Linked DNA regions of Danio rerio. The protein of the gene in region 1 binds, or shares a complex with, the protein of each later gene. Links are inferred from orthologs where the notes say so. Each region holds a gene or a part of one and is shown on either strand. Other genes may lie near its edges. The genes, in order: kcnj11 and abcc8.

Region 1 (3,412 bases):
CGGATTAAAATTCTCACAACTTTAAAATTACAGTTGTTACATTTTATTAAATAGTGTTTATGTAAAACATGTAGAGGTTTTAGTTATATGGAATAATTCAGTTACAGATCTTAAATGAAATGGAACTGTAACATGAAGGGGACGCTGAGTGCAGGGGACAAATGAGTGCAGATCCAAAGGCAAGCAACAGTCAACACAGGAGTAACAGATGTAACATTTTGCAGGGAATCCAGAGTCATGATCAAATAACAGGCAAATGGTCAGTCCCGCAGCAAACAACATAAACAATTAACAAGCAAAGCAAGGCAAGGCAAGGCAAAAGAAGAGAAACGCGTCATAATGTTCACAGTAGCAGCATAACAAGACTAAGCAATTGGTGCGTGCGTCTGTGCTGCTTTTAAAGTGCATGTAATCAGTTCATAATGATCCTCCGACTGTGTGTGTGCAATCAGCGGAATCTGAAACAGGTGTATGTGAGCACTCTTAGTGTGTTACTTTATTAAATGGATTTGATCATAATAATCTAGGAAAAGTCTGTAAAATAACAGTGTTTCTCTGTAAACCTTTTAATGAAAATATCTGTTGATTTATTATTTTTTGCACTTTTTTCAACAAAGAAATTTTACCTTAATTTTATGGTTTTTGTTTGGCAGCAGCAGCTGCCAGTCATTTGACCTTTTTTTTACTTTTTTTTTTTTTTTTTTTTTACAGAGCAAGTAATTACAATTTATTACTTTCATTTTACTTAATGTTAAATGTACTTAAAAACATGAAAAAACATTGTAAATAATATGTCAATGTTTTTGTAAAAAACAGACAAATTGCTGTAATTTGTCATTACTTATATAGTACATAAAATAACAGTCAAGCCGTTAATTTACAGAAAATGTTTGTGATTTTTACGAACTTTTGAAAATAATTTAAAATAACAGAATACTGTATAAATAATACTGTAATTTCCCTGTATAAAAAAACACAAATGTCAGTAATTTGTCTTTAATAATAAAGTACCTAAAATGAAAGTCAAACGGTTAATTTAGAGAGATTGGTTGTTATTTTACTAAGTTTTGAATATAATGTGAAATGACAAAAAAAATACAGTAAAAAATTTAAGGATATTTTCTGTAAAATTAGTTTTTTTTTAACAGTGTAGGGAAAGAGATATCTACAAACGCTTTTTGCTGTAATGAGCAGGCTAAATCATCAATGACTATAGTACAGATAGTAATGCAGCCCTCACTGTCATGGGTATAGTGGTCTGTACAGAACATGTCTTTTAATTATTGACGCAGAGCGGTTTTTTGTGGTAAAGTTCGCGTTTTGCACGCATGCCCTGTGTCTGCTCTGTGCAGCGCAGTCACATCTGAGGATGTGTGAGAAAATATCCGGTTGCAATTGACAGGCAGCGGCAGCCGGTGAACTAAAAGCGGCGCCTTCCCACGGGACCTCCTCACCTCTAGTGAGCGAGTGCGCGCGCAGCGCCAGGACGGACACGCGGAAAGTGCGCAAAAGCTGTGCCATGTTACAACTTAGCAGCGCGCCAGCGAAACAGTAGCATGGACCAGCAATGTTGTCCAGAAAAGGACTCATTCCCGAGGATTATTTGTTGACTCGGTTGGCGGAGGATGTGTTACAGCCAAAATTCAAGACTAAACAGCGGAAAGCGCGATTCGTCGCCAAAAACGGAACGTGCAACGTCGCGCACACGAACATTCGCGAACAGGGACGGTTTCTACAGGACGTGTTCACCACTTTGGTGGATCTGAAATGGCTTCATACTCTGGTGATCTTCACCATGTCCTTCCTGTGCAGTTGGCTTTTGTTCGGGATGATCTGGTGGCTGATCGCCTTCGCGCACGGAGACCTGGATTTGAAAGGCGAGGACTTTGTGCCGTGCGTAACGGACATCCACTCGTTCTCCTCCGCCTTTCTGTTCTCCATCGAGGTGCAGGTGACCATCGGCTTCGGAGGACGGATGATCACGGAGGAATGCGTTTCGGCCATCGTCATACTTATTCTTCAGAACATAGTGGGTCTTGTGATAAACGCCATCATGTTAGGATGCATCTTCATGAAAACGGCGCAAGCAAACCGGCGAGCGGAAACGCTCATCTTCAGCAAACACGCGGTGATAACTGTCCGAAACAACAAGCTGTGCTTCATGTTTCGCCTTGGTGACCTGAGGAAGAGCATGATTATCAGTGCCACCGTCCACATGCAGGTGGTAAGAAAGACCGTCACCAGCGAAGGCGAGATGGTGCCTTTGGACCAGATAGACATCCAGATGGACAACCCGGTGGGAACCAACAGCATCTTTCTGGTGTCCCCCCTCATCATCAGTCACACCATTGACAAAAACAGCCCTCTGTATGATCTGTCCGCGGACGATTTACTGCATGAGGACATCGAGGTGATTGTCGTCCTGGAAGGGGTCGTGGAGACCACCGGCATCACCACTCAAGCGAGGACCTCTTACCTGTCCGAGGAGATTTTATGGGGTCATAGGTTTGTGCCTACGGTGTCTGAGGAGGACGGGATGTATGCTGTGGACTACTCGAAGTTTGGAAACACGGTTAAAGTGGCGACGCCGAACAGCAGTGCGCGGACTCTCGAGGAAGCGGGAGGGATGGAGAGGTTCAAACTGCAGGAGACCAGCGGCGCATGCGCAGCAGTGAGGAGAAGAGTCAAACACCCAAACACCAAAGAAATGTGACTTGCTTCTATCATTATCCTCCTGAGACACGACAAAAGTTTTTTTTAAATATAGATTTTTTTTTTCAAATAATAAATCTCCGCAATTTGATATATTAAACATGTTTAATGTAAATCAGAGATCGATTTATATTGTCTTAAAATTAATAAAAAATTAAATGATCAATTATATCAGGTTTGATTCGCATTTTGGCGATCAAATACAATCAATGTACACGTGCTTTTACATACAGAACATTTTAAATACACATGTTTATTTTCATGTTTTAAAAATGATGTGGAAATTAAATGTCAAATATGAGTGAATCTTCCAACATCACTCAGACTAATAGATATATTTATGTAAAAAGAAAACTATAAGCAACATATGCTATAAATGCATACATAAAAGAAGGTGATCATGCTAACGTTTATTACGCTTAAAATTATTAAAAACGTTTTGTTGAAAAAAAAAATCTGAATGATTTAAAATAATTATTTTCATGGGGGGGGGGGGGGGGGGGGGGCACTATGACCTTTTTTATGTGTCATTAAACGATTCTTCTAAAAATGTGCCTGACAATTATTGTTATTTTTTTAATAAACTTTTATTCTAGTCAATATTATTTGTATTACTTTTTTCCTCAGAAAAATACATTTAAAAAAAGGACACTATCTGTATTATGTTTATTGTTTTGATGACAGAAAATTCATTTTCGTC
Region 2 (4,359 bases), about 130 kb from region 1:
TAAAGGCAGTCGCACAAGTCTTCACATTGTTTTATATGCATTGTTGCTCAACAAAATGGACACCTTCAAATGGTGTTGAAAGAGTCACAAACTGTATTTATAAGGTGTAATTTACCCAAAAATGTCATTTCTGTCTTCATGTAATGACCTATTCACGGCTGCAAAATCACACATGAGCTGACCCACTGTTTGTTTACTACTGAGAGGATGCGTGCATGCCCACCGATGATGTCTGCTTTAGTGAACAGAACCTGCATAGGCTGTGAATGACAGTTAACAAATTTGTAAATAATGTTTTGTTTTTTCGCACAGAATGATCTGGAAGTATGATTTTCAAGTACATTTTCATGACATGAGCCGCACTCGGCAGTGAAAGTGAAACCAAAACCGCGCACATCATATAAATGATCATATTGCATTTTAAAGTCATGATTATGACAAGCATTTTATATGTTTTATCTTTCATAGCGAACACAAAGTGTAGTGAATGAAATTAATTGTTTAACAGTATCGGTTTAACTACTCTAGCCTACAGTATACAATGTTGAATATAATGCAAGAGGGAATCTGATAATGACAAATGTCTAATTTTATCAGTGAAAAAAATGTCTGATAATTTTCTCAATGACAAATGACAAACATATGTCTCAAACATAATGATTAAACATCAGCATTATGAATAAATATATTCTGATGTAATCACTTTACTGTGAATTAACAACCAGGACGTATTTAAAGTCATTCGAAGTCTATACAAAATGTAGCATTTTACCAACAGTAGACCTACACCTAGGACTAATATTATTATTGTTGTTTTACCATATAATAGCCTACTATATGAACCTTTGTTTTACATTTACAGAATTATGAGAAAATTGTGATGTTGATTTTAAGCAAAAAAAAAATCGCATTTTGGCCAGAATCGTGCAGCCCTACTCCATAAACTACTGTACATGTCTATAGACCATTACAATACAAGTACAGGCTTTTCTTAAACACTCAAGGCTTTGTTAAAATAAATCTCAATTAAAAGTAGCTGTTTGACAAATTACACCTTTCAGTGTGTAGACAGCCTACGTGATCCATACAGATATTAGATACTACAGTGTTTAGGGTCTGCGACTTATCATTACAATCCAATGTAAAAAAAACCCATACAAATACTCTGATATCCTAATGACGGTGGTGAGAGGATAAAGTTGATCCATAAGATATTCAAGGGGAGACAGACAGATGTGGTGTGTTATGGATGTGTTATTTCAGAAAGCCAACGTGCAAATTGACTCTATCTGCTTGAAGTGCATTCCTGTCACAGTACATTTAAAAAATAAACAAGGTAAGCAACCTCATTTTTAATGTTCTCGGACCAGCAGATGCAGTGGAGCGGAAACTTAAATGCACTGCCATCATTTAATTCCCATAAAGAAGCATTTGCTGAAGATTAAATGAGTAGCATGACTCTATAATCTGCACCACTCGACAGGTCAATCAAAAGTGGGCCTTGGAGTATATTATTTCAGTCAATATATATTCAATTCCCTGTGAACCAGAAATGTCTGATTATTTAACTACAGTACTGCGATGTGTTTCCAATTGAGACAGGAGTACGAGGTTTTATTTTAGCGCTCTCCTTGCCATCTTTTGCTCTCAGCAAAGATTACCAAAGCAATGTATTCATCATCAACATCATCATGGATTAACTTGGTTTGAAATAATTTGCAGCACAAATAGTAATGTGATTTTACAAATAAGTAATGTGCCTATTGTCATCTTGTGTGTGCATTAAATTCTGTGAACGGTAGTTCACATCAAGCGTCCTTTATTTACACCAGATTAAAGCTCTTAGTCATCAGGTCATTGAGACACTCTCTGTTAGTGTGCAACATTATGAATCTTACATCATGAATTCAAGCCTTATTAAATACATATATATATATTATTTTTTTCCATTTAAATTCATTTATTTGTATTTAATGTCTCTTTGTAAAGCTATATAATTGCATATTTCCGCAAGCACTGTAAAGAAAAGTTGGCTGTAGTATATTGATTTTTGATCTTTTGAGCTTTACCCCATTTAAACACAGGATTCATTCTAAATTGAGTGCGCATGCGCAGAACATCTTTCACTTGCTTTCATTCACTGAATCCTGTCGAATCTTGTCAAAACTAAAAAGGTGTTGAAATTTAAAGCTGTAAGTAGTCCCGTGGGTTATAAAACGACATAAAGCTCACGAAATTGACATGGGAGAGGAGGTCTTTCCCGCAAGCAAGAGCAATGTTTTGGAAAAAGCTCGTAAGGTTTTCTTAACAACTTCCTCACAGAAAATCAGTTAAAAAACAAGCAGCACATATGCTATTAACGATATAACGTCGTGTAAATGCAAATTTTCAACGTAATATAACATCATAAACATTTCTAACCCAAGCCACAAAGAAACTTGCATACCGGTCTGTAGCGTGTGATCATCATCTTGAAATTCCAGTCGTAAACAAAATTGCGACTTCATATGATGGTGTTCAATCCAGTCCAGAGACCTCGTCGTTCAAAAAAAAGCGCCTAACTCACACGGGAATAGGTCAGGAATAAAAAACAGCTGAAATTTGTCCGTGCGTCTGCCATATGGTTCGAGTTTACCTCAAAGGAACTAACCAAGGTGCTGAAAAGAGCCGTCACAGAATCCGACAGTTTCAAATTCCCAAACATCGATTTGAAAGTTGGTCGAGGAATCCAGTTCATTCAGACGTCACGTACACACGCGCGATACAAGCGATCAATCACTGACTCAACACTGCTCAGTAAATCACACAAAAACGAATACCGTAATCGGTGTCACGCTGCAAATGCTTGAAGTATATGTAATGATAAATGATAACGAGCATAACCTCAAATATATGATGTCGAATAAACGTAATAAACCTTGGATTAATTAATATTCAGGCTGATATTTAAAAAAGAAGCTAATATTCTTGCTTTCCTGCAAGAATGCACCCTACTAATCATCATTCGCTCTGCGTATATGGGCCAAATTCGACAGGTGCTGAAGATAATACTAGTGCGAACTAACCAATCGGGTCGTGGGTAAAGGGTGTCGTCAGCACAACACACCGCCTCCCTATAGCTCAAAACAAAGAGACACCGCCATATCATCAGTTGCCATACATCACCACTCTAAAAAACAATGAGTTGTTCATTTAACCCAGTGGTTGAGTTAAAAAATAGTTGGTGCGTTGTTGGGTTATTTATTAATAACTCAACCAGTTGGGTTAGATATGTGGTGCTTTTGAGGTTGTTTTGTTTACCTTAATTGGGTTATTTATTTAATAACTCGACCAGTTGGGTTAAAATATTTTAATTTCAACAGTCAACTGATTTAACTGATACAGAACAGCTGTATTAACATGCATACATAAAGTTGTTTTTGCTTTATAAAGTTTATCTAAGCCATAACGCAAAAATTCATTTTCTTTTTGGCATGGTCCCTTTATTAATCAGGGGTCGCCACAGCGGAAAAAACACCAACTTATCTAGAATATGTTTTATGCAGCGGATGCCCTTCCAGAAATGCCAACTAACCCAGTGGGCACTCAAACTAGCGACTTTCTGATCGTGCTAACCATTGCGCCACCATGACACCAAATGCAATAACATTGTTGTTATCTTTGAATCAAATGACCTCTCTGTGATGTGACTTTTATATCCCTTTCACCAGCACTCTTAATTGTTAAAAATTATATTGTTAAATTTTATATGATGGATATAATTTTATAGGACCCAGTGCATTGGGTTAAAATAACCAATAGTTGCACTGTAAAAATAAAATGTTGAGGTAAAAATTTTAAAGCAACCGGCTGCAAAGAAATTTTGAGTCTATTATGCTTCAGTGGCTGCAAGTTGTGCTAAATTCTTTTAAGTTGACTGAAAAAGCTGGTTTAAGTCAAGAATACTTTACTGAAAATTTTGACCCAACTTCAACAGAAGCAAAAACTCAAATTTCTTTGCAGCCGGTGGCTTTAAAATTTTAAGTTAACTCAACTCTTTATTGTTTACTAAATGCTCAAATTAAGTAATCGAAATTGAAAGGCTCCTGAACAATGTTTTTACTTTCATTGAACAAACATGCAGTTGAGTCATTTTTATGAGTAAATTCAACTCTGATCTCAAAAATTTGATTAAGATTAAGATTTTTTACAGTGTGAGAAGGTGCTATAATAACCTATAGTTGGGTTATATGTTGGGGTATTTTTAACCCAGTTATTTTAACTGGAGTACATAAAACAGCATTTTGCAAACAAAAATAAGACATGCCATGACATTAAGTCCTTAGCCTGTCAAAAAATACAGTAGCTTTCTTTAAAGAG

What was found.
Region 2: the proteins of kcnj11 (region 1) and abcc8 are in contact, whole or in part, in a cryo-EM structure (PDB 7S60), measured with the Homo sapiens proteins. The link is inferred for Danio rerio from reciprocal best matches to the Homo sapiens genes KCNJ11 and ABCC8. Residues at the interface, in NP_000516.3 of Homo sapiens: Val44, Ala45, His46, Lys47, Asn48, Ile49, Arg50, Gln52, Gly53, Leu56, Val59, Thr62, Leu63, Lys67, His70, Leu73, Ile74, Met77, Cys81, Leu84, Leu85, Met88, Trp91, Leu92, Phe95, Ala96, His97, Gly98, Leu100, Ala101; in NP_000343.2 of Homo sapiens: Phe5, Ser12, Ala13, Tyr15, Arg16, Val17, Val21, Asn24, Cys26, Phe27, Ala30, Val33, Val34, Val37, Phe41, Phe44, Ile46, Phe48, Ile49, Gly50, Trp51, Gly52, Ser53, Ser55, Lys57, Val58, His59, Ile60, His61, His62.

Annotation. Positions count from the first base shown.
Region 1 is NC_133200.1:24,059,588-24,062,999, forward strand, and holds kcnj11 (ATP-sensitive inward rectifier potassium channel 11), read left to right. Parts: upstream 1-1,567; coding exon 1,568-2,713; downstream 2,714-3,412. UniProt on the Homo sapiens protein: Inward rectifier potassium channel that forms the pore of ATP-sensitive potassium channels (KATP), regulating potassium permeability as a function of cytoplasmic ATP and ADP concentrations in many different cells.
Region 2 is NC_133200.1:23,925,750-23,930,108, reverse strand, and holds the start of abcc8 (ATP-binding cassette sub-family C member 8), read right to left. Parts: upstream 3,025-4,359; 5' UTR 2,471-3,024; coding exon 2,447-2,470; intron 1-2,446. UniProt on the Homo sapiens protein: Regulator subunit of pancreatic ATP-sensitive potassium channel (KATP), playing a major role in the regulation of insulin release.